Oryzias latipes: one gene and its partner. The protein of the gene in region 2 binds, or shares a complex with, the protein of the main gene of each other region. Links are inferred from orthologs where the notes say so. Each region holds a gene or a part of one and is shown on either strand. Other genes may lie near its edges. The genes, in order: histone acetyltransferase KAT2B and kif11.

Region 1 (3,823 bases), on a different chromosome or scaffold from region 2:
AAAAAGTGCTTTCTGATAGTCAAACTGCCTTTTTGTGGCTTGCTGGAAAAAATAGTTCTGGAAAAGAAAATATACTGTATTTATATATATATTTAAAATATACAGATGGCATAAGTGCTTACAATTCATTACAATCTGTACATCTTCAGTTATGATTTCCTGTAATTGGCAAAATGAACTCGTAGATTTTGACCTTAGTGCTGCTGTACATCAACTTTACTTCACGGTTAAACACTTTGACCGCCGTTTCCACACAGAAAAAAGGTCCTTCACGTGACTGCTTTACCTGAGTCAAGTGAGTGTAATAGGCAGTGTAAAAAAAACAATATTTTAGTCATTTTCTGCTGCCTTTTTAGTGTCAAATATGGACGACAACAGCACTTCTCTGTTAAGGTGGTGTCACAGCCACTACGTACATTTAGCGCATATTGCATGGATGAAAAATGGTCATACGTGAGTAAATGTGCAAGTAGTGGTCTTTATGTGAAATGTTCACAGATGTATCAAGAATGAACCACGTTAAAACCACGAAAGAAGTACGAATAAACCACGCAAAGAACACATAAATCAGCGCAAAAGCCAAAGCTGGCCCAAAATTTGTGCGTCAGTTACATAATTTTAACGTGATATATGTGCTGTATACGCAATTTAAAAGTCACACATCGTGGTTCATGTGAAAAGTCCGTTAGACATACGTGGAACGTTTTGTGGAAAGCTACAAATATGCATGTGCATCTTGCAAAAATCACACACAATTGTGTACGGTTTATGTAATGCGTATGAACGCAAATCACACAAACTGCTTAATTCTAAACCGACCAAAAGTTTTGAACGGCTCAACACCAAATTCGCGTGAAACCCTCGACCGGCTGCGCACATGAATGAAAAACACAAGAAACACTTGTGAATGACTATATCACGCATGTATCACGAAAGACCAAAATTTCATACAGGGAAAATTCGCAAAATGTACGTAGAGGCTGTGTTACAAGACCTTTAAATAAGTCCTATTTGTTCATCCAAACACAAAAAAGACTTAATACCTTTAAGAGTATTTCTTTGCCTTTCAAAATAAAGGTACTTATCAAGGATTTGCTGATTGGAGATCACGAGATGTTCCTCAGTAGTTCTACCTTTTTGGGACGTCCCCCACCCTTCTCAAAGGGGAAGCAGCTTCCCCGTCATCTACTTCTCAATGAGACCTGCTTCCTTGATCTTGCCGTAGAAGAATTTCTCCAGTAGGTTAGCGCACTTGTAGTACTCGCTTTCCGGTGGGTTGTATTCCCGGCAGTTGGTGAAGATGCGCTGCATGTCGGCCATGAACAGCTTGCGCGTGGTGTAGTACCTGCTCTTCAGGCGCTCGCTCATGGTTTTCAGGTCTGGCAGAGAAAAAAAAGAGTTTTTCATAGAAACTGGGACAACTAAAATGACATAGCATCTCTACTGGGAACACCACAACAGATCAAAAGATGATCGGAGCAGAATGTTAACGTGAATATTTTGATAATTACTTTGAGACAAAAAGCAATCGGCACTAAATGGAACGAGTCAGATGATTGTGCTTGGAAACAAAATTTAGGTGAATTGTTAAATATTGTTAGCTATTTACCAACTAAATTACACCATCAACTGTGCAAAACCTTTCTCGTGCTATTGGAGACTTGGAGATGGATCAGCATCTTTTTCTTTTTAACTCTTCTTCACCATCAATGAATGCTAGTAAATGGTAAATTGCGTATGCTTATATAGCGCTTTTCTACCTTTTTCAAGGCCCAAATCACTTTACAGTCACAGTCCCATTCGCACACACATTCACACAATTGTGGCGGCTCCCTCCCACATCCCACAACCCTCCCAGCTAATGCTCCGTATACACCAGGCATGTGACACGCATTCGAGAACACACAAAAAGGGCTTTCTGAAACGCACGTGTAGTGTATGGTCTGTCGCCACACAATACTAGCGCATGGACCTATAGTTGGAAGAGTGTTTGTTCGAAATGTTGTCAAATCTGGTGAATCTTGCTCCAGGAATTTTCTATCACAGTTCTATTCCCATGTAACCCTTGTGCTATCCTATGACCATTGATGTGTTCTCCCTACCATGACAAAGGTGGATAAAGGTGGAAAAGATTTCATGTAATCCATGGACACCAGTGAAGATCACAAATCATTGAAGAAAAAAGTTCAGCGCACTGTCTAGTGGGGTCTAGATCAGCGGTCCCCAAACCCGGGCCGTGGACCGGCAGCGGTCCATGGGTCATTTGGTACCGGGCCGCACAGAAAGAATAAATAACTTACATTACTTCCGTTTTATTAATTTCAGAATCTAAAAGATGTTTTATTTTTAAAAATTGCCCGATTCTCTGTTACATCTGTCTATGTCACTCTTGACGCAGGCCAAGGCGCTCTTCTCGGTCACGTGATAGGTTACCGCTAAAATAAAACCAAGGAGCTAGCAAAATGAATAAAAAACAAAAGTCTTTGGAAAGTTTCTTTGCCAAGGGGAAAACGCTCAGCCTGGAGACAAAAGAGGAGCCTTCGACTTCCAAAAAAAGAAAGCTACATTTAATAGACAGTACTTCTTTTTTGCACTATGAGTGTGGGAAGAGAAGAGGAGGATGACACCTGTGCGATGTACAATGTTGTGCGTGTCAAAATAAAAGCTCGGGTTTTGTGTTGTCCCGTCTCTTCCTTCTTCGTAGTATTGCTACTAAAATCACCTGCCTAAATTCGAATGACCGGTCCGTGACAATTTGTGTGACGTCATACCGCTCCGTGGCGTCAAAAAGGTTGGGAACCACTGGTCTAGATGACCCAACTCCCTATGTCAAAGTGCCTAGGATAGCACAAGATATATGAAAGACTTGGTGTCAGAATTCGATCTGGGAACAAACTGCGATTATTAATTTCTCCTTCAAGATCAATTTTAAAACGGTTGGCCAAAAAGCATGCCATCCATAAGTCACCAACAAATCCGAGTCCCTGATTGGTCAAAGTTGAACTGGTTTAACTTTCAACGCGCGTTCAATGGCTGTGTAATTTGTACTTGTGTGAACATGAGCGTTTTACATGTGGAAGCCAAAAATGTGGGCTTACATTCATTTTTCAGTGTTCATTTTTGAGTGCATGTTGCAGAGGCCGATGTGAATGTAGGATGAGACTATGAATCAGAACCAAAGACCTGCAGTGCTCCCTCAGCCCTGACACCAGCAGCAGGAAATTTGATTCCGGTAATCTTATTTTAATTTTAAGGCCTTGATCACTTATATTGTGACACTTGCTTCATATCAAACTCAACAAGCTGACATGAGTCGGTTCCTCATTAGTACTCAGTACGTACCCATGGGAAAGCGAATGACTTGGTAGTAACCCGGTGCCTCTGTTTTCTTCACGGGTTCCATGAAGGGCCAGGCGTTTTGGTGGCTCTGAAACATGCAGATTTGAGTTTAAAAAACATAAACAGATGTGGCGTGCATGTTTTTACGGGTTTGTCCTTCACCTTCACATGCTGGAGGATGGACTTCAGAGTGGTGTACAGTTGCTCTGGATCCTTCAGTTCCTTCCTGAAATAGAAATAGAAAAGCAGAAATTGTAACAATAATGTTTTATTTTTTTTTGTAAAAATGAGGCGTCCTTCGAGGCAGATGCTTATGACCTTACCCTTTACCTGCAGGCTTCCATCCAGTTTCGCCTGTGGAAAAGACCGTCTAAAATGAGATCCCATTGGGGAGGAAAGCGTTTCGTACAGCGAGCAGTGAACGTAACATACGTATGCCAGGAATGCTCTCGATGGGAATCTGCCGGACTCCGTCCTTAAAACA
Region 2 (3,823 bases):
TCTTCTGAGCGAAGCTCTGCTGCATCTGCAGGTTGTGCTGCTCCACCTGCAGGATAAGAGCAGACCATCAGTCTGGCCAAACAACGTCAATGCTGGATGAACAGACATGAATGGATCTTTATCTGAGCGGACAGCAGCAGCCAATGAACTGCAGAAAAGTACATGTGTTTAAAAAAGAAAATTAAAATACTACTTTTACACTAGTATCTTCGATCTCTCAATGTGTTTTCCTCCCACTGGTCTCTAGGTTTTTCTGCAACACTTAAAAATTAAATTGGTTAAACCTTTTAAATGTTTTTGTAAACTTTAGTGAAAAAAGTTTTGTATTTTTCCACACTATATGACACTCCTTCAATGAACGGTCTGTTTTTGAACAGGTCATATTTAAGGCACATTGAACGATAAGCTGCATTAAGTGAGACAAGATTCAGACAGAGTCTGACTGACAGACTTATTAACTGTGTTCATAGTAACTCTACAACTGGTTTGTAAAACGCTACTCGTTAGCCATGTTAGAGTATTCACAAGACCAGTAACTCCCAACCTGATTTGCACCATGTAAACCGACACACAACCCCATCAGAAAAAACATGGGGGCTTTTATGTGTCAACAATACAGACATCCAGTCTCTGTTATGAACTGGGATTCTGGTTTTCTTTGTTTAAATGTGCATTAAAAAAGACAAAAGTGTGTATTTGACCTCAGTTGCACAAAGCTTTTGTCAAAACCAAACATGTTTTCCAGCCTTGAAACCGTTTCAGTTCTTTGTTGAGAAACTTTCCGCCCCTGAATCCGTGGAGTGGAGTGTCTGACCTGTTTCTTCCTGTCCAGTTTGTCGTGCAGACCCGACACGTCGCTGGTGCTGGCATGAACTGTACTCAGGAGCTGGAGAACAGAAAACATTAAGCATCTGATGCTGTCATGTGGAGTTCCTTCAGGGAGGGGGGTTTGGAGGAAGGACCGGCTTTTGGGGTCTCTACCTGTCCGGCTGTGTTGTACAGAGCTTCCTGGACGGTGTTGAGCTCTGAGCTGATGAACTCCTCATGGACCAGCTTCTCCTTCGTCTGCTCCAAGGTTCTGCTAGTCTCCTCCAGCCTGGAAACCAAAAAAAAAATCTGTTTTTTAACTTATTCAAACCTCTGATCTGCCTCGCGTGAAAGCCAAAGGGGTCCTGGTACTCTACCTCTGCTGCTTCTCATCCAGATCCACGCTGAACTTCTCCAGGCGGGTTTTGCTATCCTCGAACAGCTCAGTCACCTGCAGGGCAGAGAACCACACCTGTCAGACTTGACGGAGATGAAAACAGTAACACATTCTCACATCAGCCGTCTTTGTGTTGGTAATAAACCTGAGTGAAATTTCTACAAGCATACATTTGGATCTTCAGCTGGAGACCACCTCCTCCTCCTCGTTTTATTTAATTACAAACCTTCAATAAAAACAAACCTAAAAATCTTTTTGTTATTTCTCAATAAAAGCTCTAGATCCATCTCTTATTGGTGATTTACTGCCATAGTTTTCATTCAAAGTCAGGATAAATCTGGATGTTGACTCTAGCCTGGTTGGGCGCTGCTACCTTCTTAAGCTCCTCCTCCATGACAGCGATCTTGTCCGTGTACTCGGTGATCTGCTCCTCGTGAGCTGTGATCTGTGACATCATGCTCCTGAAGGACAAAGCAGCTGCATCAAACCAACTCTGACCTGAAGACGGCTGGATGAAGAACAAACATCACCTCCAGACTCACTTTAACTGAGACTTTTCCTCCATAACGGAGAAAAAGAATAGAAATGTCCCAAATTGAAGGTTTATTGCATTACATTATCACAGCCTTATCAAGGAAATTCTGTACATTTGCAGCAAATAAAGTCCCTGCTAAAGCAATTAAAAAAATGTGTTGGTAAGATCAAGTAAATTCAAATCTGTCACTCACTCATAGTTTTCGGAGGACAAAAATACTCCATTTTTTTCTCTGGTGGCTGCCAGGTCTCGTTTCAGGCGCTCGATCTCCTCCGTGTATTCCTGACCGGAGAAAAAGTAAAGTTTTCTAGAAGAAGCAGGGAGTGTTTGTTTACGGTTCAACACGGAGAAAAATTATGGAGTCTGTCCTCAGAGTCAGATGCTTTTTAAAGAATCCCACATGTAACATCTGCTCTAAATTGCAGCAAAGTTTGGATGCCCCCCCCCTACCTTGATGAGTGTCCTCTTGGTGAGTTTCTGGTTGACCTCAGGTTTGTTCATGATGTTCTTGGCTCTGCTGGCATACTCCAGCGTGCTCAGCGTCTCCTACAGGCCGGACAAATACACATGTTTTAATAGGGCAGGAGGAATCCCTGAGGAACCATAAAGCAGTAAAACCACCTTTTATTGGTTTAAAATAGAGAAATTCAACGTTTATTGTTTTAAAAGCTATATGGTCGTCAGAGTCTGCATACATACTTCCAGATTGCTGGAGGAAGGAGAAACTGTGGCAATGATTGACGTTTTGGTTCGACCCCCCAGGGAATCCTGCAGAATTCTGGTTAGCTTAGACTCTCTGCAAAGAGAAAACACATTTTGAATAATAAACTTCCATTCAACAACTTTTATCAGCTAGGTATTAGTGAAAGGCCCATACAATCTCAATCACCACCATCTCAACCAACTTAGACCACGATTACGTAATCGTAAAGTATTTATCAGTTGTTTTAGTGTACTTCTTTGTTTTGCAGAAAAATACCGTAAATTCGTATATGGCTGCATGCGCTTATGTTTAAACACATTATTTGAACATGTATACATTCTGCACATCACCAACAAGCTCAGAGAGGGAAATAAACATACTGTTGCATGTTCACCTTACCAGTATTATAGCCTATTTATTACAACACACTAACAAACAGCCAAACAGCATGGATGTCACTTCTGCTCACAGCCACCTCAGTCATGGTGAAAAACTTTACACCCACGATTCCCCACTTCCCATGAGTCTTAGGGGCTGAAGGCGGGGTTAACCTCCAGGTCGCCACACTGTATTGTAGATTGAGGATGTGAATGTGCCAAAACCGCATGCGCAAGAAGTAGGAGGGAGGCTCTGGGGGTCTGAACGAGGAAGTGAACAACCGAAGGAAGATGAAAGAAGATGAGGAAAGAAAGAAAATAGAGTAATTGCAGGGAAGGTTCAAAACGTGATATTTACAAAGAAAGACGGTACACAGAAAGAGTTTTCAAAGTTTTAATAATATACCTGAGCTTTTCTTTCCAAACAGTGCCTGTGACACGGCAGTAACACGGCAGCAATATGGTAGTAACAGCTGGTTTAAAAAAAAAAAGCCTCTGCATGTGCTGTAAGTTTTCTTCCACAACAGTGACATACCGTAACACAGCACTAACAGGGCTGGTTTGAAAAACATGAACAGAAAAGTCACTGAGAGCTTTCTTCATCTTCCTCCTGTGCACTGAACCATGGAAGTCTATCTCCTCAGTGTCGGATTGGAATAGCGTCAGACATTCTTGGCCACACTCTCTCAGTCTCTCCTTCGTTGTCGCTGTCAGTGTCACTCTCATCCTGAGGCAGATTCCCTCCTGAGCTTGCGCTGTCCTCTCCATCACGCAGCAGACCGGCTTTTCCAAACCCGTTGGTGATGGTGGATTTTTTCACACCGCTTTTAACGATTGCTTTCAACTTGAAAGCTGCGTCATATTGTATTGGCGGTCATCTGGACGCTGGGTCTAATAGCTGCAAGGGATTGTGGGATATGGCTGAGCATGGATTTCTCTTTTTTTTGCACCATGACTAAGGGGACTAAGAGCAGAAATGACATTCGTGCTGTTTGGCTGCTTGT

The links.
Region 1: kif11 (region 2) and histone acetyltransferase KAT2B share a complex: the UniProt entries of both Homo sapiens proteins name them as parts of the large chromatin remodeling complex. The link is inferred for Oryzias latipes from reciprocal best matches to the Homo sapiens genes KIF11 and KAT2B.

Annotation. Positions count from the first base shown.
Region 1 is NC_019869.2:22,455,842-22,459,664, forward strand, and holds part of histone acetyltransferase KAT2B, read right to left. Parts: coding exon 3,772-3,823; intron 3,694-3,771; coding exon 3,663-3,693; intron 3,566-3,662; coding exon 3,502-3,565; intron 3,428-3,501; coding exon 3,343-3,427; intron 1,380-3,342; coding exon 1,186-1,379; 3' UTR 1-1,185. UniProt on the Homo sapiens protein: Functions as a histone acetyltransferase (HAT) to promote transcriptional activation. Has significant histone acetyltransferase activity with core histones (H3 and H4), and also with nucleosome core particles.
Region 2 is NC_019873.2:10,607,595-10,611,417, forward strand, and holds part of kif11 (kinesin-like protein KIF11), read right to left. Parts: intron 2,536-3,823; coding exon 2,439-2,535; intron 2,286-2,438; coding exon 2,190-2,285; intron 2,022-2,189; coding exon 1,933-2,021; intron 1,666-1,932; coding exon 1,578-1,665; intron 1,259-1,577; coding exon 1,185-1,258; intron 1,097-1,184; coding exon 982-1,096; intron 887-981; coding exon 815-886; intron 47-814; coding exon 1-46. UniProt on the Homo sapiens protein: Motor protein required for establishing a bipolar spindle and thus contributing to chromosome congression during mitosis. Required in non-mitotic cells for transport of secretory proteins from the Golgi complex to the cell surface.